Linked DNA regions of Oryctolagus cuniculus. The protein of the gene in region 2 interacts with the protein of the main gene of each other region in a biochemical or structural test. Links are inferred from orthologs where the notes say so. Each region holds a gene or a part of one and is shown on either strand. Other genes may lie near its edges.

Evidence for each region.
Region 1: the proteins of DYRK1A (region 2) and DCAF7 form a complex in vitro, tested with the Homo sapiens proteins (2 studies listed by BioGRID). The link is inferred for Oryctolagus cuniculus from reciprocal best matches to the Homo sapiens genes DYRK1A and DCAF7.
Region 3: of the proteins of DYRK1A (region 2) and LIN52, one has a biochemical effect on the other in vitro, tested with the Homo sapiens proteins (3 studies listed by BioGRID). The link is inferred for Oryctolagus cuniculus from reciprocal best matches to the Homo sapiens genes DYRK1A and LIN52.

The regions. Positions count from the first base shown.
Region 1 is NC_091448.1:15,149,828-15,160,221, reverse strand, and holds the start of DCAF7 (DDB1- and CUL4-associated factor 7), read left to right. Parts: upstream 1-4,759; 5' UTR 4,760-5,010; coding exon 5,011-5,148; intron 5,149-10,394. Other genes in the region: voltage-gated inwardly rectifying potassium channel KCNH6, read left to right, coding at 1-28, 639-810, 1,156-1,440. UniProt on the Homo sapiens protein: Involved in craniofacial development. Acts upstream of the EDN1 pathway and is required for formation of the upper jaw equivalent, the palatoquadrate. The activity required for EDN1 pathway function differs between the first and second arches.
Region 2 is NC_091435.1:7,579,605-7,589,802, forward strand, and holds the start of DYRK1A (dual specificity tyrosine-phosphorylation-regulated kinase 1A), read right to left. Parts: upstream 5,158-10,198; 5' UTR 4,349-5,157; intron 3,819-4,348; exon of another isoform or gene 3,744-3,818; intron 3,668-3,743; exon of another isoform or gene 3,602-3,667; intron 3,027-3,601; exon of another isoform or gene 2,903-3,026; intron 1-2,902. UniProt on the Homo sapiens protein: Dual-specificity kinase which possesses both serine/threonine and tyrosine kinase activities. Exhibits a substrate preference for proline at position P+1 and arginine at position P-3.
Region 3 is NC_091451.1:20,251,045-20,261,304, reverse strand, and holds the start of LIN52 (protein lin-52 homolog), read right to left. Parts: upstream 6,644-10,260; 5' UTR 6,436-6,643; coding exon 6,405-6,435; intron 1-6,404. Other genes in the region: ALDH6A1 (methylmalonate-semialdehyde/malonate-semialdehyde dehydrogenase [acylating], mitochondrial), read left to right, coding at 7,010-7,057.

The DNA.
Region 1 (10,394 bases), on a different chromosome or scaffold from region 2:
TGGATCAGCTCCAGGCCCAAATGAACAGGTGAGTGCCCTGTGGGCCCCCGCCAGAGGCAGTGGCAGAGGACAGACCTGGGTGCTGGCGCCCCCTCCTGGTGACTCAAGGCCATCACTAGTGCCGGGTGGGTTTTAGAATGACCGGGCCACTTAGCAGCAGGCCTCTCTCCATCCCTATCATTAACCACAGTCCTTGAATAACTTCCCCCAGCAGACCCTGAAACATACCAAAGAAGCTTGGGATGGGGTGTGGCCTGTGGACGGCAGGGCTGTGGCGACAGAGTGAGGGCTTAGGGGTGGCACAGACCCAGCTTTCAATTCTTGCTCTGCACTCTTGCACTCAGCAAGAGTGTGGACAAGTTATGTAATTACTCTGGAGCCTCCGTTCGCCCTTTCAAGAAATGGGGAGAATTCGAATGCCCATGTGAAAGCAAACAGCAGGACCGAATGATGCGTGCTCGGTGTCTGGTCACAGGTGTCATCAGTCAGGGCCGTGCTAAGGGTAACACGGGCAGGGGCTGTGGGTCCTCGTGGGAAATAGCTTCAGGGAGGTCCAGGTTGCCATTTCACTGGGCGGCAGCAGCCCGCAGACTACAAAGCGGGGAGCCTGACCCTTACCGCGGGGTTCTGTCTGGCAGGTTGGAGTCCCGCATGTCCTCAGACCTCAGCCGCGTCCTGCAGCTCCTTCAGCAGCCGGTGACCCAGGGCCACACCAGCTGCATCCTGGGAGTCCCTGCCTCCAATGACCTGGCTTTGTTTCCTGCAGCCTCGGGGACTCAGAGTCCAGGACCCAGGCTGTCCCCTGCACAGGTGAGAAGTGAGGGGATCCCCAGGGATGACCAGGAGGCAGCTGCATGCCTTCGCCAATCCTAACTTGATGTCCATGTGACATCAGGTCCAGAACCACTGTGGCCCCTGGGCAACCAGGGCTCTGCCATCCTCTCTGAGATGAGTGGTGGCCTGGACAGAGGGGTGGCCAAGCCCAGACTGGCAGCCACAGACTCACAGCCGAGGCAAGGGCAGCAGGACCCTGAGGTACAAGCCAGCAAGTGCAGCTCTTGCTGGCTCCCATTCCCGAAGTTGGGGGGATGAACCCACAGCCTGGCCTCGGGGCTCCCCCACACTCCATGTTGCCCTCTTTCTTGCCCCTCCCAGGCCGCAAGCTTTGGTGACTTGGACAAATGTGGGCCGAAGCACAGGAACTCCTCCTCCAGGATGCCTGACCTGGTTGTGGCTGCGGATCAAACCCTGACTCCGTTGTTGGACCAGACGCAGCCCGAGGGCCTCCTGTCACCCCTGGCCTCTCCTTTGCATCCCCTGGAGGCACAGGGACTGGTCTGTGGTCCCCGCTTCCCCTCCCTCCCTGAACACCTTGACTCTGTTCCCAAGCAGCTAGAGTTCCAGAGACACGGTTCCGACCCTGGATTTGCAGGCAGTTAAGGCACCAAATCCCAATACACCGTGAGGGGAATGAGTGAAGGCAGACAGCTTCTGAAATGGGCCTATGAAAACCTTTCTCCTAGAGTAGCTGCGAACTGCTGGCCGGGTGACCCGGGGGGGGGGGGCACGGATGAAGAGCTTCAGGACTTTCCCAGCTTCCCAGGGGCTCTCTGTAGCAGCAAGCCTGGCAGAGGGCGGGGAGCCTTGGGCATGGAGGTAGCTTACGGAACAGAGAGTTGGTGAAGAAAGATGTTCCTGATTGTCCATGTGAGGGCCTGGCTGTGCACTGCACATGGTCACCTCCCAGCTCAGCACCACCTGCTTCTTGGCCCAGCACTAGGCCTGGGTTGGTCAGACCACTGGGAGAGCCCAGGATCCAACTGGAGGTATAGGTGACCTCTGGGGCAGACATGTTGGAACAGAGCTACAGCCCTTGGTCCTTCTGCCTCTGGTTTTCTGATGACATCTGGGTCCCTAGAGGGCCGTGGACCGTCACTCAGCTAATAAAGCCTATACATATCATGTTGGGACAGGTGTATGACTTACCTAAGGAGCTGATAAGGACCTAAGGAGCTGATAAGACCTCAACTGTGCTGTGATCTTCTCCAAGTAACTTCTCACCAGGGCCTGGGGGCCCACCTTCTACTATATCCACTGTGCTGGGGACCTGAAGTTGGTTCCCTGGACCCAGGCGCCCTCAGAGCCTGGGGCTGTTAGCCAGGCTGGGGAGAAGGGAAGCTTGGTGGCCCTGGGAATTATGACAACAGCCAACTCTTCGTGAGGCTCTGCAGATATCAGTATCTACTCCTCAAAGCGAGCCCAGGAGTCGGCGTTATTGTCCTCATTCTAGAGAACGTGGGATCAGCAGCAGAGGAAGGGACTGCAAAACCACCCAGGCGCGTGTAAGGCCGCCACAAAACACACCAAACACCGGAGTGAAGGGAAAAGCTGTCGGGTGGGGGAAGCCTGGCGGGCTGGGGGAGAAGGCGAGAGTACGTGTTGGGGAAGAGGTCCTGGTAAACCTCTGCCAGCGGCGGGCAGGGAAGTAGGAGCAGTGAATCCCATTAGGGTGGGGGTGGAGCCGACACCTGTGGTTGGGCCATGGGGTCTTAGGACTGAAGCTTACTATGCAAGGTGGCGATGACAGGAGCCAGAGCCTAAGCTGGCGCCACAGATAAGACGGCACCCTTTTACTAACAGCATGCTGGGACTTTTGGGGGTGCCGGCATCATTTTGTTTCCTGATCTTGGAGCTGGTTACATGAGAGTTCACATGTACTTCCACATACAAATGATACTTCAGTTTTAAAAGTGAGGTATTTAGCAAAATGGCTAAGGCACCCACAACCCATCCCCAGCCCTGGCTTCTGACTAGCTTCCTGGCAGTTCACACCCTGAGAGACAGATGTGATGGCTCAAATAATCGGATTCCTGCTGTGTGGGAGACCTGGCTTACATTTCCAGCTGGGGGCCCAGCCCATCATGGGCTATTGTGGGCATCTGGGGAGTGAACCAGCAGATAGGAACTTTGTCTTTCTGTCTCTCTGCCTCTGAAATAAAACGTTTAAAAATGAGGGGCCAGTGCCGGTATCCCATATGAGCACCAGGTTCTAGTCCCGGTTGCTCCTCTTCCAGTGCAGCTCTCTGCTGTGGCCCAGGAGGAAGCACCTGGCTCCTGGCTTTGGATCGGTGCAGTGCACCGGCTGTGGCGGCCATTTGGGGAGTGAACCAACGGAAGGAAGACCTTTCTCTCTCTCCCTCTCTCTCTCTCTTTCTCACACACACTGTCTATAACTCTGTCAAATAAATAAATAAATAAAATATTCATGACTAACACGATGGGAAAAGGACATAATTTCAGCGCAGGCAGTCTGGCGTGAGAGTTTGTGCAGTTAACCATTCTGCTGAAGGGGCTGTTATCTCCAGGATACCAACTCACTGACCTTCAGTCTCGGTACTTTGTGCTCCAGAACTCTCTAAAAGAATTCTGGGAAATTTATCTCTCCTCCATTTTTAAGTGGACATCTGAAATATTTCATTGATAAGTTTAAATAGTTGCAAAGGAATCAATGTCCAGTGCATTATAAATATTGACACTATATAGAATTTTTTCATCTCATGTATATTTATCCATATTTATCCAGGTAACATAGATTTTAGAGCCATCATCATCCACTTTAAAAACATAAGAACAGGTTTTCATAAGTCTAATTATCCCTTCCACTCTAGTTTTAACCTACATGTAATTTATTTTGATGCTTAAAAAATTTTGATAACCCTATCATGTTTGCAACACACGTATATTAAACTGAAATTTTAAAAAGAATTGTAACTTTAATAAGGCACTGTAAGTAGTATTAAGTGGGGCCAGCATAAAGGCCCCACCTGCGGAGGCAGCATCCCATATAGGCATGGGTCATGTCCTGCTGCTTCAGTTCCAGTCTAGCTCCCTGCTAATGTGCCAGAGAAGGCAGCGGAAGATGGTCCAGGTGTTTGGGAGACCATACGAAGCTCCCAGCTGGCTTCCACCTGGCCCAGCGCTGGCCCTTGGGGCCATCTGGGGCCTGAACCAGCCAAGAGAAGATCTGTCTCTTCTCTCTAACTCTGCCTTTCATACAAATAAATCAACCTTTAAAAAATAAAAATTAAGAGCAAGGCTGGTGGGCTCGGTGCCCAATAAAGACCAACCCAAGACATGGGAACATTTCTAGAATCTGCAGGAAGGCGCTGTAAGGCCTGACTCAAGCTGGCTTGGCCCTGCGCACACCTGCTGCGTGTCTGAGGCCTGCCCTTGGAGCACTGGAAGCACAACTCTCCCGCTAAAAAGGCTTTGAGGGATAAGTGCGGCGGGCCAAGAGGTCAGGCCTTGGACTCAGTACTGTAAAATGCGGTAGTCCTCCATTAAGACAGAATTTAAATTTTACTCAACAGCCTAGGGAGGCCGCTCAGTCTAGCAGCAGCAACGGTGAAGTCAGGGCAGGTCGCACAGAGGTTTCACTCTCAGCCACTTGGCCTAGAACTTGCAGGTCGCCTCTGGGCCACCCACGCCCCTATTCACCCGCACTGCGCCGTTATCTGGGTGACTGACATCTTGGCTAGCCAATGACCTTCGGGACTGCGAAAGCGCCTGCCTCCAGGAATTGGGCGGGGCAACTACTTGGAATGATAAATACTTGCACCAATAGCGAGGAGATTTCAGACGCCGCGGTCGTAATAACCAATGAGGAGAAGGAACCATTTCGAAAGGACGTGTCAAGCAGCCAACGGCCGACGCCGCTCCAGGGGGAGCGGGTGGGGGGCGGTCGCGTGGCTTCCGTTCCGAGGAGGCGGGGCGACATCCCAAACGGAAGGTGGTTGTTGTCGGTGCCGAAGCTTGTTTGAAACTGGGGGTCGGGCCCTGTTGTCGTTGTTTGTCGCCGCGGCCCCGCTTCCGGGCTAGGCAGTTCCTGCCCGCCCCCGCCCCGCCTCCCTTGAGACCCCTCCGTCCCAGGCCCGGCTCCCCGCCCGAATCCGCGCCCCGCTCTTCACTCCCCGCTGCAGCCCCGGCCCGCAGTGCGGCCCCGCCGCCACCATGTCCCTGCACGGCAAACGGAAGGAGATCTACAAGTATGAAGCGCCCTGGACCGTCTACGCCATGAACTGGAGTGTGCGGCCAGACAAGCGCTTTCGCCTGGCGCTGGGCAGCTTCGTGGAGGAGTACAACAACAAGGTGGGCCGGGCAGGGGCTCGGAGCCCAGCCGGCGGGGAGCGGGCCCCGGGTCTGGCCCTGTGCTGGCGGTTCCGCTCTCGTGGTCCCACGTAATCCTGCGTGGTCGGGAGCGTGGAGGGGAGACGGAGGCAGCGCGTGTGACTTTCCCGAGGCAGACGGGTATTTCGTGGTGGTAACAGGTCTCAGAGCCGAGCTGACGTTCTGGAGCTGCGCCAGGTGTCCGCTCCCAGGCCCTCCACTCCTGCCGCATTGCCTCGGCTGGGAGGCGGGGAGGGAACAGGGAGCGATGAGGCTCCCCAAGTGGTGGTCGCGGCGTCCCTGGCTTGCTGAGGGTTTCCCCGCCCCCTAGTCGCACTCGGCGCGTCCCTTGGATCTGCATCCCTGCTGCCTGGTTTCCAAGGCCTTCGCTGTGGCCTCCCGCGACCTGCCCTCTCCGAAACAACCTGTTTGTTTCTGGACATCTTGGCCTGCAGCATCATCCCGCCATTGTTTTCTTGGCTTCTTATGTGCTAATAGTCCTGCCGTTTGTAACCTCAGGTAGCGGAGCTGACCGGACGACCACCAGTTTGAGAATCCTTCATGGAAACTCTGTTGCTAGGGGATGCTTCTGCACCTGCAGTGCAGCAGCGTGCATTTATTTTTGAGAGTAATTAGCTAAGTCAGTGGGAGGAGTTTTCTTCTGTATCTTGTTTTTCTTGTGTTGGAGCAACAGTTGTGAATAACCGTGAACAGAGCACCTGTAAGGTTCAGCTGGTGGTGTTTAGAGGCTTTCCTGTTCCTCCATGCATATCAGATTGAAGAATAAAGCTGTGGCCGTTGGCAGGCCTGGTGCAGGGGAAGAAAGGATTGAGTTCCGTCTGGTTCACCCACTGGCTTTGAGGCGTCACACCCCCGGTCATTTCTGACCCACAGTTTGCTATAGGAAAGGGGTGCTGCTTTACACATGAAGATCTGTAAAAAATAAAATCTGAGCTTTTAAAAAAAGATTTATTTATTTCCTTACTTGAAAGGCAGTTACAGAGAGAGGGTGAGATAGAGATCTTCCACTGACTGGTTCATTCCCCAAACGCTTGCCAACAGCCAAGGCTGGGCCAGACGGAAGCCTCCACCCAGATCTTGCACATAGGTGACAGGGACCCAAGGACTTGGGCCATCGTCTGCTCCTTCTCAGGTGCAATAGCAGGGACCTAGATCTGAAGCAGAGTAGCTGGCATGGGAACTGGACTCCGCTGCGTGCCACTGCACCGCAGCACCTGCCCCACAGCATTCGAACATCTTCAGTGTTCACAGTTTTTCAGGAGCACATTTGTTTCTCTCTGCAGTAGGTCTTAACTTCTTTAGGATCCCCTTTGGGAAACTGACGCGAGCCACGGGCTTGCATTGCCAGACATACTCATACACGATTTACAAACAAATCCTAGTGAGTATGCACTGATCTTTTAAATTTACCACTGACTGTGCAAGACGTAGCTTTAAAAAATTTTATTTATTGGAAAGGCAGAATTTCAGAGAGAGGGAAAGACAGAGGAGAGGGAGAGCTTCCATCAGCGGTTGGTTCACTCCTCAAATGGCTACAACAGCTGGGGCTGGGCCAAGTGGAAGCTGGAGGCCTGGAACCCCATCTGGGTCTCCCACAGGGTGTCGGGGGCCCAAGTACTTGGGCCATCTTGTGCTGCTTTCCTGGGTGCATTAGCAGAGAACTGGGTCAGAAGTGGGACTTGAACGCCGGCGCCGCAGCTCACTAGGCTAATCCTCCGCCTTGCGGCGCCGGCACACCGGGTTCTAGTCCCGGTCGGGGCGCCGGATTCTGTCCCGGTTGCCCCTCTTCCAGGCCAGCTCTCTGCTGTGGCCAGGGAGTGCAGTGGAGGATGGCCCAAGTGCTTGGGCCCTGCACCCCATGGGAGACCAGGAGAAGCACCTGGCTCCTGCCATCGGATCAGTGCAGTGCACCGGCCGCGGCGGCCATTGGAGGGTGAACCAATGGCAAAGGAAGACCTTTCTCTCTGTCTCTCTCTCTCTCTCTCACTGTCCACTCTGTCAAAAAAAAAAAAAAAAAAGTGGGACTTGAACAGGTATTTATACTGGATGCCAACATCACAGGCATTGGCTTAACCTGCTGTACACAGCGCCGGCTGCAAGACACAGCTTTGTTTCTTTTCCTCTGGTGCCTCTTTCTCCCCTGTGGCTTGTAGAGAAGGCAAAACAGCAAGTGGAGTTCAAGGTCCTGATGTCGACATCATATTAGTAAAATTAAGACCACAAGAACTACTCTTTCAAAATACACATGAAAAAATAAAAAGTAAGATACGTCTTTCAAACAACTTGAATCCACATAAAGTGATGTAATTTTGCAAGTTCTTTCAGGGTCAGTGGGCAAGCTGTGGCTCTCATTTCTGAGAGAGACAGACTGAGACATAGTTAGGCTGCAAGTGGAATCATGGGCTAGTTGATGTCAAACCTCAGTTGCAGGAAGTTCCCAAAGTTTTTCTTTAGCAACTGTATGGATGTCCTTCTTTGTGCCGGTCGTGTAGGCAGGCGGCTGCAGTGGTGAAATACAGATGAATCCCTGTATTAACAGAATAAGCAGTCAACTCTGTCTTGTTTCATCCATAATGTAGGCAATGCAGTGTCTTACAGTTTTAGTGCCTCTACCTATCTGTAAGTGAGGATTCTTTTTTTTTTTATTTTAATGAAATTATTTGACTCTATTACCTCAAAGGTCCTTTTTCTTTTTGACAGAGTTAGTGAGAGAGAGAGAGAGACAGGGAGAAAGGTCTTCCTTCCGTTGGTTCACCCCCCAAATGGCCGCTACGACCGGCATGCTGCGCCGATCTGAAGCCAGGAGCCAGGTGCTTCCTCCTGGTCTCCCATGCGGGTGCAGGGGCATGAGCACTTGGGCCATCCTCCACTGCCTTCCCGGGCCACAGCAGAGAGCTGGCCTGGAAGAGGAGCAACCGGAACTAGAACCTGGCACCTATATGGCCAGCTGGCACCTCAGGCAGAGGATTAACCAAGTGAGCCATGGCGCCAGCCCCAGTGAGGATTCTTAACTTCTGTGTGTATGTACTTTGGATAAACGGCTTTGGTAATTTGATACCAGTAGACCCCTTCTCATAATTGTGTTTTCAAATGCATAAAAGACATAGGATTCAATTAGGAAACTAATTGAACCATAGATAGCCAAACTACTTTTTAAAAAGTGGTGTATGATTAAACCACTGCATGTGACATTGGCATCCCATCTGGGCTCCAGTTTGTGTCCCAGCTACTCCACTTCCAATCCAGCTCCCTCCCGGCTAATGGCCTGGGAAAAGCATCTAAAGATGGCTCAAATCCTTTGGCCCCTGCCACCCACCTGTAAGACCTGGAAAAGGTTTCCAAGCTCCTGGCTTCAGCCTGGCCCTGCCCAACCCCAGCGGTGTGGCCTTTTAGAGAGTGAACTAGCAGATGAAAATTCTCCGTCCCTCTCTCTCTGACTCTGCCTTTCAAATAAATAAATCTTTTTTTTCCAAAGTGGTATATGCTAATATGTACTGTTAAATTGACTTGTTAAATTAACCATCCAGTGTAATGTTGACTGTAATTTTGAAGTACTGATGAGGGTAAACAGCACAGCATTCCAAGATGTGTATCGGCCGGCGCCGCGGCTCACTAGGCTAGTCCTCCGCCTTGCGGCGCCGGCACACCGGGTTCTAGTCCCGGTCAGGGTGCCGGATTCTGTCCCGGTTGCCCCGCTTCCAGGCCAGCTCTCTGCTGTGGCCCGGGAGTGCAGTGGAGGATGGCCCAAGTGCTTGGGCCCTGCACCCCATGGGAGACCAGGAGAAGTACCTGGCTCCTGCCAATGGATCAGCGCGGTGCACCGGCTGCAGCGCGCTGGCCGCGGCGGCCATTGGAGGGTGAACCAACGGCAAAGGAAGACCTTTCTCTCTGTCTCTCTCTCTCACTGTCCACTCTGCCTGTCAAAAAAAAAAATGTGTATCAATTATGTAATGGGATATGAATTTTTATAGGTGACAAAGTTAAAGATACTTTACACCACTGTGTGTATGTGCCTCTGTTTGTAATTGAAGGAAATGATACATTTCAACTAGAGCTTACTGGAAAGATGAATGTAATTTTCTACTGAAGTCCTGCTATAGATCTTTGCATGGGGGCAGGTGGGCAGTAAATCCTACCTTTAGAGTGGTTCTCAGGCTAAATTTCAGAGAAACCTTGCCATGGATGTGGCAGACTCCATAGTTTAGACAAAGTTAAAATTATTGGTTGGACTTCTCACACCATTGATTCCATTGTCAATAGAGACAAAACAGATGGATGCAACCATTACCATCAATGAAGCCTGACATGGTCATCTTTTTTAATGTGGAAACATGATTAGAGTTTTTAGATTTTTTTATATTAATGTGATTATGTTCTATCATAAGACTGTTCCTATAGTTGGTCCATAGACTTAAAACTATGAACATTTCAAGAATTTGGCTTCTAGGCATTTCATCATATGAATAAATTTGGGAATCAGAGTAAAGAAACATTTCATCAACTACAGCAGGAATAAAAAGTCCCATTGTTGATTGTTGTGTTCTACACTCTTTTTTGAGTTCTCTCTTAGGGTATGTAGCGGTAGTGGTGTTGATTTTAGTGTGAGATGGTCCTAGGCCTCTCCTGAAGGTGACATACAAGCAGGTGGTTGAACTCAGGTCATCCGGATGACACTCTTAACATCACCCTGGAGTTACCTTGGCATCTGCTGAACAGAAGCAGGGATCCAGTCTCTGCATCTGCTTTCTCCCGAACATTGTTTCTGTCTGACCATCCAAGTTCATCCATGACAAATGCCAGACAGCCTCTTCGAGTTAGCCTGAGTTGAGATCTTCGTTTTACCACTGCCCACGTTTGTGTGGCTTTGGACAAATTCTCTTTTGTGCCTCAGTTTCCTCATCTGTCAGATGAAAGTATTAAGTATATCTACTTTATCAGGTTGTTGCAAAGATTAAATTAAACTGGGTCTGGCATGGAGTGAGCTATATGGAAACATTTAATTGTCTTTACCTGTAATGGAAATATAGCTAAGGAGAATTATGTGGATTTTAGATCAATTTTACTTTTGTATTTTCCAGAGAGGACTCGGGACCTTTATTCTGAAAGTTTTTCAAGGGGTCATGTGTTCATTCCTTTGCTTTGACTGACTCGGAGGGAAAAAGTCCCCTAATCCCTTTCAACCCAACCCATTCTGTGGTCTAGCAACA
Region 2 (10,198 bases):
ATCATAAACATGTACATGAAAACACTTCTGGGCAAACTAAACTTCTAAGATATTTCTTTTTCAAAGCCACTGCCTGCAGTGCTGACATCCCGTATGGGCGCTGGTTTGAGTCCCAGCTGCTCCACTTCTGATCCAGCTCTCTACTATGGCCTGGGAAAGCAGTAGAAGATGGCCCAAGTCCTTGGGCCCCTGCACTTGCGTGGGAGACCCGGAAGAAGCTCTGGATCCTGGCTTCAGATCAGCGCTGCGGCCATCGGGGAGTGAACCAGCAGACTCTGTCTCTGTCTCCTCTCTCTCTCTCTCTCTCTCTCTCCTCTGTCTCCTCTCTCTCTCTCCCTCTGCCTCTCTATAACTTTGCCTTTCAAATAAATGGAATAATTAAAAAAAAAACACTTAAGTACTTATAGATGAAGTTATATGACAGCATAATAATTTTAAAAAACCAAACATGGTTTTCAAGTAACAGTCAAAATGCAATACAAACCAGCATTCTCTCTGCATGGTTACAAGACGAAACGCATGCCAAAGGTCCTTGTAGCAATGTTTGTAATAAGTTACCTTCAACTCTGCCTTTGTAGCTAAATATTCAAAATACTATGAAAACCCAAGTTCTTTAAACACTCCCCAGCCCTACGTAGTTAAGTCATGAACACAATACACAATAACTTTCCATAAATAAAACTAAGTGGTAGGTATCAGAAAATACAGAGGAAATAATTTTCAAGGGTCTTTATTTACTGTCCACAATGCCAAACAAGATATTGCACTAAAGCAGAATATTTTCATTTATCTTGAATGTTACAGCCTCTAAAAAATTGGGCTGACATTCATGTTTCAGTTTCCAGTACACAGTAATTTTTCATGCTGGTTAAGTTTCTAATGGGTACCACTAAAATGTCGTGAAATCTCAACTTTCTAAGAGTACGATCTCACTAGATTCCTCTCACTCTTACCAATGACTCATTCATTTGAGCCTATTTCTCCAAATCTAAAATTTCTTCAATACCCACCCTAAGTGCACAGTGGCGACCCCTCCTCTCACAGTCATTAACTGCTGGCCTAGGCCTCTCCCAAGCACACAGACCCTGCTTACGCCCCGTTTTGCAAGGGAACGTGGTGCAGACACTGACAGGAGTCCTTAACTTTCTGGCAAGGTTTGAAGTCTAGATCAATTTGGACAGCTACCATAAACACCACTGCTATGCCAAGACAAATGCGCCCAAAGCCCCGGAGTACTCCAGGCAGGCCTAAGTCATACGTACATGAAACAGCTCGACTATAACCAAATAAACTTCTTCCTTAAACCACCGTTTCTCTGAAACAATCCTCTTCAGTTTAAAACCTTGGCGTGCCAAATTTTAGCTCTAGCTTCAGATTTATTACCTATCTGAAAGGAGTATATCCTCTTAAAGCAAATGAATAAATTTTTTTTAAAAAAAAAAGGCTAAAGGTAATTCCACTGAATTACTAAAATACCTCGAAATCAAAGTACCAAGTGTATTCATTATTAAACACTTTGCACATGTATGAGGTACAGAAGAAATCTAAATATTCAAAGGGAAAAATGACTGAAAATAACTACACAAAACTTTATGACTCATAACACTTTAAGGATGTCTATAATTAAAATTAAGTGTGAAGACTAAGAAGCACCAAGGAATATTAATTCCTTCCATTCAAAAATCGACTGCCTGGTTTTCTTCAGGGAGAGAGGGCTGGCAAGTCTCATTAAAGAGGCTCACCTCCGCTTTGCATCTCCACTTCTGCAAACTACAAAGTTAATCCCATGCCAGAAACCGTAAGTGGACAGACACAGTCTCTTAGAATCGAACCCTGAGTCACTGCACGCAAGTCGTTCCGAAATTTGCTAGTTAGAACCTAGCCAGCCCCCTGGCTCCGGGAGCCCCAGCTGTGTGACCTTGGAGGAGTCACTGCCCGCTCTCCGGGCTCAATGTGCCCATCTGTAAAATGGGTTAACACCTCCTACCGGCAGCACACGGGGTAAAATATCCCCAAAGCCGTGAGAGGAGTGCCAGCCACCATCTGCCCTAATCTCTACATGCGGAAAACAATGCAGACGGGGGTCTCTTCCGACCGTCGGGGCGGAATTCCAGAAGCAAACGGTGCTGGCATTCCAGCGCTGCACCTGCAGTATGGGAGTCCTAGGATCCAGGGACGGGCGAAAGGCACAGGCAACCACTGACTCACTAATTTTGCCATTTTTAACTGTTTCAGGCTGGAGGGGGCGGGGGGAGGCCTTCGCCGAATGCTCAGACAGTCGGCGGCCCCGGTGCCTGCGAAGCCTCGGCGGGTCTGTGCCTATAAATAGACTCGCGAAGTTTTGTAGCAATACACAGGTATCAATTTTAATTCGCGTCTCCGCGGCGGCTTAAGCAGGTCACCGCTCCCCCGCACTCCGGCCCCAACTTCCGAGCACGCCGCGTCCCCCGCCCCACCCCCACCCGGCGCGGACCCCCGAGGGCCGCCGAGCCAGCGGGCCCCGACCTTCGCCGGCGCCCGGCGCGGCCCCGCTTCCCTTAACCCGTGCATTGTCCTTGCGAAGAACCCCGGCGGCTCCCACACTGGTGGGGACCTAGAGGAGGGACGAGGGAGGAGCTGGGGGAAGAGGATGAGGAGGAAGAGGAGGAGGAGGAGGAGGAACACAGCCTCCTCCCTCCGCCCCGGCGACCAGAGAAGGCCCGGCTCCCGGGAGGCCGCGGCCCCCGCTCCCACCCTCCGCAACTTTCCCTCCGCGCGCACCCGCCGCCCCGCCGGGACCCGGCTGCGGGCTCCCTCCCCCGGCGGCCGGCCCCGGGCCCCGCGGCGCCTCCTCCTAAAATGGCAGGTCCCTCCCTCCGCCGGGCCCGGCGGAGCCGAGCGCCGGGCCGGGCCGGACACTCACCGGGACGATGGCGGGGCGCTCGCGCCGCTCCCTCCGGTGAGTCTCAGCCTCGGGCTCCCGCGCCGCGCTCCCGCCGCGGCCTCCGCAGCCAGCGCCGCCCCGGCCGCCTCTCGCCGCCCCCGGCGCGGCCGGCTCCTGGCCGCGCCGCAGCCTCCTCAGTCTCTCGCGCTCGCGGGTCCGGCGGCGCCGGGGGCCGGGGCGGCGACAGCCCCCTCCCCGGCAAATACCGCAGTCCCCGGGCCCCGAGTCCCGGCGGCGGGGCCGCGCGGAGGGCGGCGGCGGCGGCGGCGAGGCCGGGCGCCGAGTGGCGGCCGCTGCCGGCGGCTTCTTCCCGAGGAGGATTTTGTAAATCGCACAAAATGGCGCGCGCTCCAAACCTGCGCAGCGAGGAGCGCCGGGCCCGAGCGGCGGCGGCGGCGGCGGCGGCGGCGGCTTCTCCGCCAGGAGCGCCCGAACCGCCCGCCCCCGAGCGCCCGCACAGACAGACAGACACTCGCACACGCACGCACGCCCGCTCGCTCGCACACACACACTCGCACACTCACACCGGTCCCGCCCGCCCGCCCGCTCGCTCGCTCGCTGGCCGGCGGCGGCAGCGGCACCACCAGCAGCAGCAGGAACAGCAGCAGCAGAAGCGGCGGCGGCAGCGGCGGCGGCGCCCGCACCCCCCGCTCGGGGTGTCCGCTCCCCGAGCCCGACCTGGGCCGCGATCAGCAGCAGCGACGGCAGCAGTCTCCCCGGATCCCCCCGCCGCGGTTGCCGCCGCCACCCCCGCCTCACTCCAATGGGGCTTTTTATTATTATTCGGGCGGGAAGCGAAAGGGTTTAAAAAAAAACCAACCAACAAAATGGCGACGGACCGACCCGGTCGCTATGGCAACTGTCAATCAAAACGCAAAACCCCGGCTGACGTGCTGACGTCCTCCGCCCGCCCCCCCGGCCCCAAGCCGGCGGGCGGGGCTTGTTGCCCGGGAAACGGCAGACTTCGTTCCCTCCTTTCCTGCTCCCCCTCGGTCCCCAGCCAACCACCCAACCCCCCTCAGGTCACGTGAAGGATAAATTCGGAGCTCGGGCCCGCTACGAGTGTCAGAGGAGGGCGCGTGATTCGCTCGGGGGAGGGGTGCGGAGGGGGACGGCCGGGCCGAGGGAGGGAAGGGGAAGGGGGCGAGGCGGCGGCCGGGCCCGTGCGCGAGCGCCCGCCGCCTCCCCGGCCGCCTCGCCCCGCCCCGCGCCCGCCGCGCCCGCGCCGACTGCGGCCCCGGGAGCGCGCGCGGCCTCCCGCGCTTCCGCGTCGGGCGCCCGCAGCCCCGCCCGCGCCGGGGGGAGGGGCGCGCGCGGCCGCGGGGCGGGGTGGGGGGGCGCGGAGAGGGGCCGGGGCGCCGGGGCCGCCGCCGGGCGGGAAGCCGGGAAGCCCACCCCCGCGCGCCCGGGCCCGAGGGCTCTCACCGCGGTGCGGCCGCCTGCATTCCCGGGGAGCGCGCCGGCCGCGCACGGCCGCGCGGAGGAGCCGTTCTCGGAAGGGCTCGCGGCCCCCCTCGCCGGAAAATGCCCACGGAGGCCGCGGCGGGGGCGGGGAGGAGGCCGCCCGCGCGCCTCAGACATCCCAGGAATCCCGGGCGCCGCGGCCGCATCCGGGGTGCCCCTGCGGCTGACGCGCGGCCGGGCCCTGCCACGTGGGACCCACGTCCGAGCCTCCGGGCCGGCGCGCCCCCTCCCACTGCAGACCCCGCGTGGGTGCCGAGCCCGTCCTGCGCTGCCCGCGGCCGGAGCCCTTCCCTAACATCCGGCTCCTGGTGCATTAGCCCGTGGACCCCTCCCCATGCTGGGCGTGCTGGGAATTGTCTGCTGTGCCACCCCCGCCCCCCCAGGTAATGGTGTTTAATCAGCGTTCGTCCGGGCTTGCACGCAGCGAAAGTCGCTAATCTGGTGGTTGATTTCTAAGCCTGACTTTGCCGTGTGCAGGTAGTGTCCGTGTCGGGGTCTTGGGCTCAGTCTCTTCACAGACTAGCCACAGACACAATCTGACAGACGACACAGGTGTAAGAGGAGAAATCCCAATGAAAGCCTCCAGCCTGTGTAAATTTCCAGCAGAATTCCCCTCCCACAGTCTGCAGGTACAGCACTGATATATTAAGGCGATCATTCAAATGAGCAAAGGCCCTGAAGTAATCAGACCAGACCTTAAATAAATTTGGCAAAAAAAAAAAAAAAATTAGGCAAGTGGTTAGCTTCAGACTGATTCTCATGACTGGTTAAAAAAAATAAAAGTTCTGGATTGCTGGTGTTTTCAAACTTGCCCTCCTAATGTAATTGAGGTCTGCATACAGCTTCGCATCTAAGGAAGAGGAAGTGGCCAACAGTGTCCCTATTCATGAAAGAGGTTGTCACCCAGTGCTTCCCAAGCTCAAACTTCCACCTGGAAGACAACCCCTTCCTCCCTCCACCTGCTCTCCTGCCTTCTCCCCACTCCAGCCCATCCGCCAAGGTTTCACTGCTGCCGGACACTTGAGCAAGTGCCACCTTGACCACTAAGTTATTCCCGAGTCAAGTTTTCATTGCTAGCAATGGAGGAAGCTTGCATAATGCACATCTAAGTAACCGAGACAGAATAGGACAAGATCGCCGGGAGTAGATCCTCGCCTCAGATGGGTCGAGGGGCTCATGGGATGAGGGAAGTCTTCAGGTCGTAGGCACACAGGGGTCAGAGGCGTCCCCAGTGTTCCCGTGTAGAACGCTGCTCATTTCTCTCCCAGCGTGACTGCCTTAGACAGCATCGCACTGCGTGCCCAACGGGTTTTGTGTGGGCTTCCCCTAAACACTACCAGCAAGTTATGGCTGGCACCAAACAAGAGAACACACGTAGCCAGGAAGGACGCTGGTATGGATGCCAGTGTGGTGCAGAGCTGAGAGACCCTCCCCGTGGGTTTCGCTTAGAGGTGTTTGATGGCCTAAGAAAATCCGGAGAAGCAGAATCCCCCAACTGGCAGTTACTATCGGCTTGCACTTCTTCCCACGCCTGTTAGAGGTCTCATCCTCACTATAACATTGTATCTCGGTTATACGGCTGAGAAAGCAAGCCCTGAAGTGACTCTCCCAAAGCCGGCCCACCCGTGAGCAGGGGAAGTCAGAATTCAAACCCAGGTGTGGCTGTAAAGGCTGTGTTTCGGCAGACTGTTTGGAAGCAGAGTTGTCACAGAGATAACCCTGACTAAAGGAGGTCTCTATGATGTGCCCTGGTCCCAGATGACTGGTGCCAGTGTTCTTATCTCTGCGCTCACAATTTCTGACACCCCTGATGTTCTTACAGACAAGTGAAGCCCTTCATCGCCCTGCTTGTACAAGCGTTATTCACTGTTCTGACTTTGGGGCCTGCCATGTGGCACAATCAGTTAAGCCTCTGCCTGCAGCACCAGCATCCCATAGGAGTGCAAGTTCAAGTCCTGGCTGCTGCACTTCCAATCCAGCTCCCTGCTAATGCACCTAGGAAAGCAGCAAAGATGGCCCAAGTTTTTGGGCCCCTGGACCCAAGTGGGAGGCCTGGAAGAAGCTCCTGGCTTCAGCTTGGCCCAGCCCCGGCCATCGTGGCCATCTGGGGAGTGAAACAGCAGGTGGAAGACCTCTCTCTGTGTCTCTCTCTCTCTGTCTCTCTCTCTCTCTGTGTAACTCCGACTTTCAAGTAAATCAATAAATCTTTTTAAAACGTTGTTCTGACATTAAAAGTAATTCATGAATATAAAAACTTATTAAAAAGAAGCAAAGTTAAAATGAGAGAGGCCCTATATAAACTCACAATAGGGGTATGCTATGAACCAAGAAGTTAATAAGCAACTATATCCAAGTTCCAAACAAAAACTAAAAATTAGATTCTGGTAATTACCAACAATTTTACCATACAGAAAACAGTAAGTAGGCTAGGATCACCAGTAGGCATCACTCAGGAACACACCCCCTTTGTATGTTCATAACAGCATCCACCCTTCCGGACTTTCTTAAGAAGACATGTGTGCACTGACACACATTTCACACCAGCAGGTGTGTTCATGCCTTGTCTAATTACAATTGTGCTATGAACTCATTTTTGTATTAAACAATTGAAATTTAAATAATAACATTAATAGCAGTTAGTATTCCATCGGTTGAATGAGCCGTCATTCACTAAGCCTCCTCTATATTTTAAGGAAGTTTCCATTTTTTCTTGTTATTACAAAAAAAGTTGTATAAACATCACATATATATATTAAACATATATACAGACACACACAGAGTTATTTCTCCCGGATAAAGGGAGAAAAGTCCTTAAAAAAAAAAGTTGGACTCATGTTGACAAAGAACTTCGGAAGGAAACAGCTGTTTGGCCTAAACAGCTGTTAAGACACCACTTGGGATGCCCTCATTCCATATCAAAGTGGCTGGATTTGGGTCCCACTCAGCTTCCGATTCCAGCTTCCTGTTCACCCATCCCCTGGGAAGCAACAGATGACGACTCAAGGACTTGGGTCCCTGCTGCTCACCTGAGAGACCTGGATGGAGTTCCGGGCTCCTGGCTTCAACATGGCCCAGTCTCAGCTATCGCAGGCATTTGGGGCATGAACCAGCAAATGGAAGCGCTCTCTCTCTCTCTCTCTCTGTCTCTCAAATAAATCTTAAAAAAAAAAAAAAAAACAAGGCCATATGCTGTTATGGTATCAACACCATATACCCAACACACACTCAAATGTCCTGTGGCTCTTGCCACTCCAGGCCATCTCTCCAGTGGGCTAGCCTGGATTTCTCCCTCCTGGAAGCCTCCTTACTTCCTCTCCACCACACACCTGGATAAAATGCTCTGCCACGTTTCTCCCAGCATCTTAAAGTTGTCAACGAGACTGGCTTATGCCAAATGTGGTTCAAGTGCACCTTTTTTTTTTTTTTTTTAACAGGACAATATCTGTTACCATCCTATCATGTAAGCATTTTACCAATATTATGTCCTGAATTATCATTAATGTTTTCTCTTCCGGTGACATGAAGGTAAAGGCTAAATAGAAAATATGAAGTTGGTAAAGTGTGTATTTCACATTGTTTTGGAATATCTTGAAATAGCCTTGTTGCAACATTTTGGACACCTTAAAAAGAAACCCACTTTTATATAATATAATAGCTTCCTCAAAATTAACAGGTACAGGGAAAATGCCCTAATGAAACTGCAAAAAACAATTAAGTACATGGAATTAAAATGAGGTAGGAGGCACAGACTTCCACGAAGACACTTCCTGCAGTGGCTCGTTAGTGCAGTGGTTCTTGAGAGTTTCAGCTTGTTTTCTTGGCTTTTTAATCTAGGTATGCAGTGGATGGCACTTAATATTCCTAGGGTGTTTTTTGTTATGCACATTTACTGCTATTATCTTCAACATGTTTCCAAGTTTTGCATCGGTTTAATTGAAAATGTATTTATGTAGTTATGCAGTGGTATTCACTCTACCATAGGAGTATTTGCACTTTTTTTTTTTTTTTTTTTTTGACAGACAGAGTTAGTGAGAGAGAGAGACAGAGAGAAAGCTTCCTTTGCCATTGGTTCACCCTCCAATGGCCGCCGTGGCCGGCGCGCTGCAGCCGGCACACTGCGCTGATCCAAAGGCAGGAGCCAGGTGCTTCCTCCCAGTCTCCCATGTGGGTGCAGGGACCCAAGCACTTGGGCCATCCTCCACTGCACTCCTGGGCCACAGCAGAGAGCTGGCCTGGAAGAGGGGCAACCGGGACAGAATCCGGCGCCCCGACCGGGACTAGAACCCGGAGTGCCGGCACTGCAGGCGGAGGATTAGCCTAGTGAGCTGCGGCACCGGCCTGCGTGTTCATTTCTTAACTGTAAGTGGTTTTGGGGCAGGGATCCTATATTTTCATCTTGGTATCCTAAACGCATTTTGTAAGTATGGTTGATGTTGTATTTTTTTCTTAAGATTTATTTTTATTGATTTGAAGGCCAGAGCTACAGAGCAAGAGAGGAAGAGGCAGAGAGAGAAAGAGATCTTCCATCCGCCGGTTCACCAAAATGGGCGAAACAGCTGGGGCTAATCCGAGCCAGGATCTCCACTCTGATCTCCCATGTAGGTGGCAGGGGCCCAGGTACTCTGGCACCTTCCACTGCCTTCTCAAGCGCATTAGCAGGGACCTGTATTGGAAGCTAAGCGGCCAAGACCTGAAACATGGGCTTAACCATTGCACCCCAACGCCTGCCCCTATTTTGCATTTTTAAATGAACCAGGAGTCCCTGATAATTTTCCCCCATCCTACATAAAGTTTTTCACAATCATAAAATTTGAAGAGAAATCGTACAGAAGCAAGAAATGTGTTTGTCCTATCTTAAAATGGATAGAACTTCGCTCTAGTACCAGAGGAAACACTTTTGTAATCATCAGAGCCAGAAGAAGAAAACTCCATGAGAAGGTGCAGTCGTGCCAGCGATCACCACTTCAGCATTTAGTTCGATCACAGGGGAGGTCCTCCAGCCAAATAGTCTTTGCACGTCAGCAGCTGAGCCCACGGACCACGCGCAGGCGTAGGCGGTCTGGCCAGCAGAGGTCTAGGCCCCACAGCGGTATGAGTGAGTCTCTTCATGTCTACTTCCCCATTGCAAAGCTACCAGGCTGCCCCCTGCATGCACTGTTAGCCACTCAAGGGCAGGGTCAGAAGTCCTTGCATGAAAGGACAGCAAACGTATCTGTCCACTCCCATCTCTGGATTTACGGTCAGACTTTGAGAAGCAAAACTCACATGTTGTATTTCCCTTCTTCGTGGATAACATAGACAGCGTAACAACGAAGACCAAAGGAGCCTCTCATCCACCTTTGCAGATAATGACATTGACTTCAAGATTTAAAAATCTGGAAGGATGAGTGGCGGCTAGGTTAGCTGTCTCTTAAAAGGCCCGCACCCCATGCTGGGGTGCCGGAGCTCTAGTCACAGTGCCCTCCCAATTCTAAGCTCCTCCTTAATGCACATCCTGGAAGCAGCAGGTGATGGCTCGAGTCACTGGGTCCCTGCCGCCCACGTAGGAGACCTGGATGGAGTTCTTGGTCCCGGGCTTGAGCGTGGCCTGGCTGGAGCTGCTATCCACATTTAGGGAGTGAATCTGTGGATAAGAAATCTGTGTGTGCTGGGGCTGGCGCCGTGTCTCACTTGGTTAATCCTCTGCCTGCGGCTCCGGCATCCCATATGGGCACTGGAGTCTAGTCCCGGTTGCTCCTCTTCCAGGCCAGCTCTCTGCTGTGGCCTGGGAAGGCAGTGGAGGATGGCCCAAGTGCTTGGGCCCTGCACCCC
Region 3 (10,260 bases), on a different chromosome or scaffold from region 2:
CTCTTTCCTTCTGTTCCACTCCTTTCTCCTCCTTAGCCCCAAATCTGTTCTCCACTAAGTGGTCAGAACTGATTTTTTGAAACATGTCAATCAGTTCACGTCACTCTCGAGTGTATAGTCTATTTTCCCACCTAATCTGTGAACATATATCTCCATACCCTAAAAAAGGCTATATAAGGGGCCAGCATTGTGGTACAGTGAGTTAAACTCTCACCTACAATGCCAGCATCCCATGTGAGCACCAGTTCCAGTCCCAGATGCTCTACTTGTGATCCAGCCCCTTGGTGGTGCACCTGGGAAAGCAGCAGATGGTCCAAAAACCTGGGCCCTTGCCACCCACATGGGAGACTGGGATGGAGTTCCTGGCTCCCAGCTTCAGCCTGGCCCAGTCCTGGCTGTTGTGGCCATATGGGGAGTGAACTAGTGGAAGGAAGATCTCTCTCTGTCTCTCCCTCTATCTCCATGGCTCTGCCTTTCAAATAAATAAATTTATTTAAAAAAAAAATTCTACACAGAGGCTGGTGCTATGCTGTAGCAGGTAAAGCCACTGCCTGCAAAGTTGGCATCCCATATGGGCACCAGTTCAAGTCCCGGCTGCTCCACTTCTGATCCAGCTCTCTGCTATGGCCTGGGAAAGCAGTGGAAGATAGCCCAATTGCTTGGGACCCTGCACCTGCGTAGGAGACCTGGAAGAGTCTCCTGGCTCCTGCTTTGGATCAGCGCAGCTCCAGCCTTTGCAGCCATCTAGGGAGCCGACCAGTGGATGGAAGACCTCTCTGTGCTCTGCCTCTCTGTAACTCTGCCTTTCAAATAAATACATCTTTTTTTAAAAAAATTCTACATGATCTAGTACTTGTCTAGTTCTTTGACACCATTTCCCCTCTACTGTTCCCCTGGCACACAACAGGTACTCAGTATTTGATTTAATACTGTGTGTTCAGTATGCTAACTAGAAGCAAAAATTAGTTCATTTAATGCTACAAATAGTGGTCCTTAACATTTTCTGGGTAAACCACATTTTTTTAAATTATTTATTTGAAAGGCAAAGTTACAGAGAGGCAGAGGTAGAGAGAGGTCTTCAATCCACTGGTTCACTTCCCAAATGGAGGCAATGGCCGGAGCTGAACCTATCTGAAGCCAGGAGCTTCTTCTGGGTCTCTCACATGGGTGCAGGTGCCCTAGCACTTGGGCCATCTTCTACTGCTTTCCCAGGCCATAGCAAAGAGCTAGATTTGAAGTGGAGCAGCTGGGATGTCGGCACTGCAGGCGGAGGCTTTACCTGCTATGCCACAGCACCAGCACCAAACTACATCTTTAGATATCTGAAAAGAAAAGCTACAGACTCACTTCCCTGAAAAATGTACATTTATACATAAAACTTTTCAATAAATGCTTTTTCTAAACTGAACCTCTTTTACCAAATATTCCAAGGGAATTTCTAAAACATTCTACTGGTAAAGAATTCAAGTCTAGTACACTGCATTAACTAAAGCAAAGGCTATATGCAACACAAAATGCCAGTTTTCTACTTGTTATTGACGAGGAGCTCAACCATAACAAAAATGAACTTACTGAAGGGTAGGATCCAATGACAAATGAGGGGGACCGGGACTGACACTATGACGTGGTAGGTAAGGCTGCTGCCTGCGGTGCCAGCATCCCATGTGGGTGCCGGTTCGAGACCTGGCTGCTCCACTTCCAATCTAGCTCTCTGATATGGCCTGGGAAAGCAGTGGAGGATGGCCCAAGTCCTTGGGCCCCTGCACCCACGTGGGAGACCCAGAGGAAGCTCCTGGCTCCTGGCTTTAGATCAGCACAGCTCCAGCCATTGCGGCCATCTGGGGAGTGAACCAGTAGATGGAAGACTTCTCTCTCTCTCTCTCTGCCTCTCCTCTCTCTGTGTAACTGTGACTTTCAAGCAAAATAAATAAATCTTAAAAAAAAAAAAAAAAGTCTCTCACTGTCCACTCTGCCTGTCAAAAAAAAAAAAAAAGCGCAGGACCTCTTTGGGAGGCAACTTCTTTTTTTTTTTTTTTGACAGGCAGAGTGGACAGTGAGAGAGAGACAGAGAGAAAGGTCTTCCTTTGCCGTTGGTTCGTTGGTTCACCCTCCAATGGCCGCCGCGGCCGGCGCACCGCGCTGATCCGATGGCAGGAGCCAGGAGCCAGGTGCTTTTCCTGGTCTCCCATGGGGTGCAGGGCCCAAGCACCTGGGCCATCCTCCACTGCACTCCCTGGCCACAGCAGAGAGCTGGCCTGGAAGAGGGGCAACCTGGACAGAATCCGGCGCCCCAACCAGGACTAGAACCCGGTGTGCCGGCGCCGCTAGGCGGAGGATTAGCCTAGTGAGTTGCGGCGCCGGCCGGGAGGCAACTTCTAAAAGAAACCTGGAACTGGGGGAAAAAATGTTTACATGTTTGATTCGTTTTCACATTTTCGGAAGCACCTGGTATGTCTGGGACATAACTCAGACTCTGCTGTCTTACACTTACAAATTCAATAATTAAGTGGCTTTACTTGGATTCTAATTTGCTCCTTTTCAAATAAGTTCCAGCAAACTTGGCACACACACACACAGACACAAAAGTAAAGGATCTTAACTTATTTACAAATCATCATTATGTGAATTAAGCTTTAAAGTCAGGGACAGGTGGGGGTCAGTGGTGTGGCGCAGCAGGCTAAGCCCCGGCATACAGGGCCAACATTCTATATATGGGCACCAGTGAAGTGCTGGCTGCTCCACTTCCAACTCAGCTCCCTGCTAAAGCTCCTGGCAATGCAGTGGAGGATGGCCCGACTTCTTGGGGCACTGCACCCATGTGGGAGACCCAGATGAAGCTCCTGGCTTCACCCTAGCTCAGCCTTGGCTATCGCAGCCACGTAGGGAGTGAACCAGAAGGAAGATCTCTCTGCCTCTCCCTCTGCCTGTAACTCTGCCTTCTAAATAAATAAATAAATAAATAAATAAATAAATAAATAAGAGAGACAAGTGAACTCAAAATATAGAAGTGAGAGAGCTAGGCAGTGGAATATTTTAGAATTGAGTTAGTTATTCAGAAACTGAATTTAAGTTGAAAGTGCTTAACTGACTTTGTCAGATTAAAAAGAAAAGATTAGGTGGAGAAGGGTGAAACTCTGTAGAGATGAGAACCCGGACTTTTAAAAATAAAGAGGGAGGGTACAGGCATTTAGCCTAATGGTTCAGACATCGACATCCCATACTGGAGTATCTGGGTTCAATTCTTGGCTTCTGATTCCAGCTTCCTGCTAGTGCCCACTGTGGGAGGCAGTGGTAACTGCTCAAGAAATCGGGTTCCTGCCATTCACACGGGAGAACGGTGTTCCTGGCTACCAGCTTTGGCCCTGGCCCAGGCCCAAACCTTAGCCACTGTGGGCAGCTAGGGAGTGAAACAACAGATGGGAACTCTCTTTCTGCTCTCCAAAACAAAACAAAAACAAAAAACAAAAACCAACTTTTCAAAAACAGAAAAGAGTGAAAATAAAGTGAATTTGGAGATGGCTAGAAGATTACAGGAAAAACTAAATGTTTCCAATACTCTTCCTGGCTGAAGAAAGAGAAAGAAATTGAGAGGACACGGGGAAAATTCAAACATAAAGAACGCAGTCCCAAAATCTCCAAAGACTTACATGCATAAACATAAAAACAATAATAGACTGAACATTTTAAGAGCAAGTACCTCTACTTCTAAATTGTTTAGAGCTCAGTGTCACTAAGTACATTAGTACAGTGCAACCATTATCACTGTCCACCAGAGCCCTTTCCCCTTCTCAAGTTAAAGCTCTGCACCCATGAAATAAAAACTCCCCATTCCTTTGGCTGACTCTTTTTTTTCTGACAGGCAGAGTGGACAGTGAGAGAGACAAAGATTTTTCTTTGCCGTTGGTTCACCCTCCAATGGCCGCTGCGGCCGGCGCACTGCACTGATCTGAAGGCAGGAGCCAGGTGCTTCTCCTGGTCTCCCGTGGGGTGCAGGGCCCAAGTACTTGAGCCATCCTCCACTGCACTCCCGGGCCACAGCAGAGAGCTGGCCTGGAAGAGGGGCAACTGGGACAGAATCTGGCACCCCGACCGGGACTAGAACCCGGTGTGCTGGCGCCGCAGGCAGAGGATTAGCCTATTGAGCCACGGCACCAGACTCCTTTGGCTGACTTTTAAAATAACTCCTCCCCGCTTCTTTTTCTGGCCAGAGGATTTAGCAGAATCTTGTCTGATTCTAAATATTCACAATTTCTTTTTTTTTTAATTAATTAATTAATTTATTTTTTTAACAGGCAGAGTGGACAGTGAGAGAGAGAGAGACAGAGTAAGGTCTTCCTTTGCCGTTGGATCACCCTCCAATGGCCGCCACGGCCTGCGCACCGCACTGATCCAAAGGCAGGAGCCAGGTACTTATCCTGGTCTCCCATGGGGTGCAAGGCCCAAGCACTTGGGCCATCCTCCACTGCACTCCCGGGCCACAGCAGAGAGCTAGCCTGGAAGAGGGGCAACCGGGACAGAATCCGGGGCCCCTACTGGGACTAGAACCCGGTGTGCCGGCGCTGCAAGGCGGAGGATTAGCCTAGTGAGCCGTGGCGCCGGCCCTATTATTCACAATTTCTTACACAGTATGTACCTATGCTCAAAAAGTTACAACTCAGTTAAACTTAAGGTCAAGCAAAACATTATTTCCTCTCTCTATATATTCTTTGATTCAATAAATGTTAATTGAGCCTTAAGATGCTAAATCAGGCACTGTGCTGCTGAATCCCAGGATTCAGCTGTGAACAAGACAGACTTGGAATTTATAATCTACTGTGAAAGAGGAAAAACTAACAGAATAACAATGCCATCAGTGAAGATACTGAGATATTTAAACAGGGGAGAGGGGCAACTCCAACACTGTGTTCTGGAAAAGCCTCTTTGGGGAACAACATCTAAAAGAAACCTGGAACTGGGAGAAAAAAAGTTTACATGTTTGATTCGTTTTTACATTTTCGGAAGCACCTGGTATTAACGCCTTTCATATATGTTGAGTAAGCCCATAATATTTTGACAGGATGATCGGTGTCAGATTTGGAGTAAAAATGAGGCACACATGGGAAGGCTGGTATACCTCTCTCCTCTCCTGGCACTGGGGCCATCAACTGACGCAATAATCCAGTCTTCCAATCCTCCCCTAATGGCATGCTCTGACCAAGCTGTTCCAAGATGCAGCCATTTTGTAGACCACCCCCACACAACTCCCGCAAGGTCCCATCATCTCTGCAGTGAGCCATTCAGCACCTTGCTCTGGTGTTGACCAGGGTAGCCAGGAGACAGCGGAAGAGATCTTAGGTGCTTTTTCCTACCCCCTCCTTTAGATTGCTAATCGGCCTGAGGCCAAATTGTCTTCCAGGGAAGAAATTTAAGAATCCATAATTAGGGTATTGAAATTCAAACTCAGACAACCCTGTAATCTAGATAGCAATCTCCATGTCACTCGGTAAAAAGGAAGTACTGCTTTACACTTTCATGTGGTCGTCTGACAACCTGTAACAAAACCGGTCTCATTAGTCTTTTTGATTTTTGCCAATCTTATGTCTCGTTATTGTTTCATTTTTCTTCAATGGTGTCAATATAGAATATGAAACCTCTGCAAAAAAAAAAAAACGCCCTCCCCAAGATTTCTTCCAAAAACACTCTGTGGTCGAGGAGGGGAAATTGCACATCAATGAACCTGACCTGGGGATGGGGTGATGGAAGGGCAGCCCGCAAGACCCTAGCTCTCTAGGGCAGATCGGAGCACAACAGCGCGCTGATACACCAAAACCTCGCGTCCTAGACAACATCCAGGCAGGGGAACCCGCACACACAGCGGCCCCTGCAGAGACTGAGATGTACGCGAAACTACTCTAAAGCAGAGCTCAACTGTCATTTCCTGGGGACCCTCGCGGCGAGGGGACGAAAAGGTCCCCGCTTCTCTTGCAATTCAGTCCCCGGACGGGGTCGGCCACCAACCCAGCTAGGACTTGAGGATAGTTCGATCAGTGCTCAGTGCGAGCAGAGATGATACATCAGCGGTGCACCCGGAGGAGCAGAAAACTATATATAACAAGGCACCTCCTTTCTCTCAGCAGTATCTCCTCCTCGTCCCTCAACTTCAGCCAAATAGGGAAAAAGGAGGGCCAATGAGACCACTGTCCTTCTGCCCTACGTGGGTGCTCTCCTCCACCTGCAGGGTACACAGCGGGGAAACCCGGCGCCTCTCAGCGGATGTGAAGAACCGGCGAGGTGAAACCAAGGAAAAGGGAAAGGAGAGGTTCCCGAGAAAGAAGTGTACGTTCGAGGGGCAGATGGAGAGTGGAAGTTCTCAATGGGAGCAAAGGAGGAGGTTGCAGGCCAAGGGTCTCTAAGCCGGCTCTTACCGTCTGTGGGAGACGCCATCTTCCAACCCATGTCACGTGACGTGGCCAACCGTCGGCGGGAAAGCGAGGACCCCTAAGCCACGCCCCCAAAGCGAAACCCTATCGCCAACTCGCAGCCCAGTCTCGTTTCTCCTCCCCATAGGACAGTCCTTGCCTAGCCCCGCCCCTAGCGACAGCCCTGCCCCTCGTGCTGTTGCGGAGGCGGAGCGACTGCAAAATTCTTGGAGGGTCTTATTTACTTTCCTCGGTAGGGGGTGGAACCCTGGTCGTGGCTGTAGCCAATCAGAACTCCAGGTTAGGGGGCGTCTCCCCTCCGTGTCCAATACAGAGTACCCAGGTAGGGGCGTCTTCCCTACCTCCGCCAATAGAATTCTCTGAGGTGGGAGGGGGCGAGAGCGCTTTCGCTTTTGACCAATCACATATCCGCAGGAGCAGGCCTGCGGGGGTGGAGTCAGGTGTTTTAGAGAGTGATTGGCCAGAGGAAATGCTCCTCTCCACGAATGAGAAGGTCGGGCAGGATGGAGGGGGAGGCCTGGCAGCTGTAGTGTTTCTGGCTAGCGCGGGCGGTGGAGGCTGGGGGAGCGTAGAAGAGGCGGCCGAGAACCATGGCGGCGGTGGTGGTGGCGGCGGCAGTGCGGGCCCGGATCCTGCAGGCGAGTGAGGGTGGCACCGAGGGACCACGAAGCTGGGACTTGGATGCTTTCCGTCCACTCTGAGCCATCCTCGGGCGGGACCGACTTCTTGGCCCAGCCCCCTTCTTGGCCGACCCTGGTGTTCCCCTCCCAGCCCAGCGGCCTAGTTTCCTCCTTCCCCCACCCCCACCCCGTACCTCCCCTAGTCTGGATGCCTCCCGGGACTTTCACCCGTTTACTCCGGGGCTTCCTGCTTGTTGGCTCTCGCCCACCGTCCTCAGCCCTACCCGGTCCCTGCTGCCACTCTTGCTGTCACCTCTCGGCCCGCCCACTGCCTTTCCCTGTCACTTCTGCACCAGCCACTTCGTTTTCTCGCATAAACTCCCCTCTCTTAGAGCTCTTTCGCCCGCCAGGAGCGTCCAAATGGCTCCCTTTCCCCACCCGTGAACCGAGGTAAGGGAGGGAGGGGGTTCTCGAGGGGCGAGGGTCAGCGAGTGAACTTTGAATCTCGCTCTGGGAGTGTGCACCAGGTTTTCACCACAGGCAGACACTTGCTAAGCTGTTTTCCCCAACTCTGGCTCTGCATTTCCCACAACCCGGAGGCGTTCTTGCCAAAGTTTAACTCTGTTAAACTTTGTCTCAATAAATTTACAGTTTTCATGTTGCAAGTAAATAAGGGCACGAAGTTCTGCTAGCGCATTGTTCCAGTCCCTTCAGGGGACTAAACATCTCTAAAACAGGCGACAGAGAATGAAGCTAAGAAAGGCGAGAAGCTCCAAGCTTCCCCCCTAACGTCAGCTCTCCGTGTGCCGGCACACCCTCCGATCTGCCCCTGGGAGACTGGGTCCTGTCTCCAGCCAGGCCTGTCGTCTCCAAGTCTCCAACCCTGAGTAGCTTTCCCCTCTGTTCCTAGCCTGGCAAGCAATTGCACAGTGAGGCAATATTTACAGTAGGCAGGATTCCCAAACCTGCTTTTCTTATTCCTTATGTTCAAACGGGGAACTTCTCTGTGTTGCTGGGCTTTTAGGTTATTATTATTATGTACCGTGTTTCCCTGAGTTCTTCCGCAAAAACAGAAGCAGTTTTAAGATTCTTGGCAGAATCAGCAAAGGTTCATATTTATAAATACACTGTTTAATGGAACAGTGTGGAAGATGGAGGGGTTCGCCGGGTGGGCTGGCTTCACTCTTATTTCTTGCCTTGATTCCAGTTCTGCTCTAGCAGCTTTTTTCTTTTTAGTAGCAAGAAAACAGTTTCCACCCTGTTTTGTCCATTACCAGCCTCTCCTTCAAATCTTTGACTAAAATTGGCTTTTCCCTTTGCCTCCGCCTCACTCCCATTGAAGGTATTTTGTGCTTTGCATCAGAGAGGAGAATCTGTCTCCCATGTACTTCATTTCAGAAACAGGTACAATTTTCTGAGCTTCTCAACTGACCTGGAAAAAGAAAAAAATAATGCTCCTTAGCCGACTAGGAGTTGCTCTATCATGAAACTTTGATACAGAGTAGTCTAGATTTGGCAGCCATGAATATTTAGAGGACTATCAAAGGGATCTATAAAGGTGAGAATTCAAGTTTTCAGCTATCTGAAGTGTTTGACTTACAGTCTCTGTTACTGACGCTAGTCAGTCTTAAGCTAGAACCTCTCTCCTTGTGATATCATCACTCCCATTCAGAGGTAAGAAAACCAGCCTTAGAGAGCCTGGCTTGCCTCAGTGAGCTGACAGAAAGAGAAGGCTCCACAGTCCCACTCCTACGTGGCTTCTACCCCAGCTCCGCCACTTGCTAGTTGCAATACTCCTGAAGGTTAGAATCGATGAGGATAATGAAGCCTGTTCCCTGACACTTACAGTGGCCCCAGGCCACTCACCTAGCACTTGATGGGGCTGAGAATTTAGGACTTAAATCTTGGCATCTTTTTCTGTGTTCCCCTGGAAGATCCCTGACTGTAACGCAGTAAGTGCATTCCTAGACAACAGGAACTGCCCAGGGACATGGGGAAAGAGCCCCAAACTCAACCTGTGCAAGTCAGGAGAACTTCCAAAGGGGGCTGACTCTGGGCCTGTTGCTTGGAAGACTACCAGGCCACTAACCAAGAGGAGAAAGGAGTCCCTGGTAAAAGAAGTAGCACGTGGGAACTAAACACCTGGAAAGCAGAAAGTTGGAGTGACCGTCGGAAGACAGTTTCTTTTCTTCAGCGAGTATTTCTAAGGAAATGAAAAGGTGGGAAAGCTGATCTCAGAAACTGCACAGCAACTCCTAGCAGAGGCAGTGCCTCTGTACCCCCTTGACATTGACAGCCAGGAGGCCGTGTGCAAGTGAAGAAGTACAGCTGAATGGCCCAAAGTGCTCAGCTTGGCTGGTCAGTGCATTTTCTGCCCATAACAGAGAGCACATGAAACAAAGTTTATACCAAGTGATGACTTGGTGAGGACTCATTCTTTCATCTCTGTGTTGTTCTATTACTGAGTGCTTGCTCTGTTCCAGGAACCAGGCTAGGGCCTGAGGACACGATGAACTAGTAATCGAAGGGGAAGGAAACTTAATAACTTGACAAGCTGTTACTGCACGATGTGAAATGAGAAATAAATAAATTCAGATGCCTGTGAGCTCCACAACCAGGTAGTTAGCCCAGACTTGAAAACAGCAGTTTCCAGAGAAAGTGATGGCTGGGACTGGCACTGTGGTACAGTAGGTTAAGCAGCTGCCTGCATTGCCGCCATCCCATATGGGCACTGATCTGAGTCCCGGCTGCTCCACTTCTGATCCAGCTCCCTGCTAATATCCTGAGAAAACAGCGGAAGATGGCCCAAGTGCTTGGGCCCCTGCACCTGTGTGGGAGACCCAGATGAATCTCCTGGCTCTCTGGCCTGGCCCAGCCCTGGCCATTGTGATCATTTGGGGGAGTGAACCAGCAGATAGAAGATCTCTCTCTCACTCTCTGTAACTCTGCCTTTCAAAAAATAAATACTTTTTAATTAAAAAAAAATGAAGTGATGGCTAAGGGAGGACCTGAAGGAATATGACTGAGCCAAGCAAGTGAGATGAGCTGCCAGGGTAAGAGGGAGCAGGTGCAAGAGCAAAGAGCATACACTATGTTCAGGATGGCTGGAGCATAGAGCAAGGAGGAAAGCCTATGCAGAAGCCAGGTCTGCGCGCATGGAACCTGCAGTGGCTATGGGGGGTAGATAGTAGCCAGGGTTGCAATACAGAGAGAGAAACCTG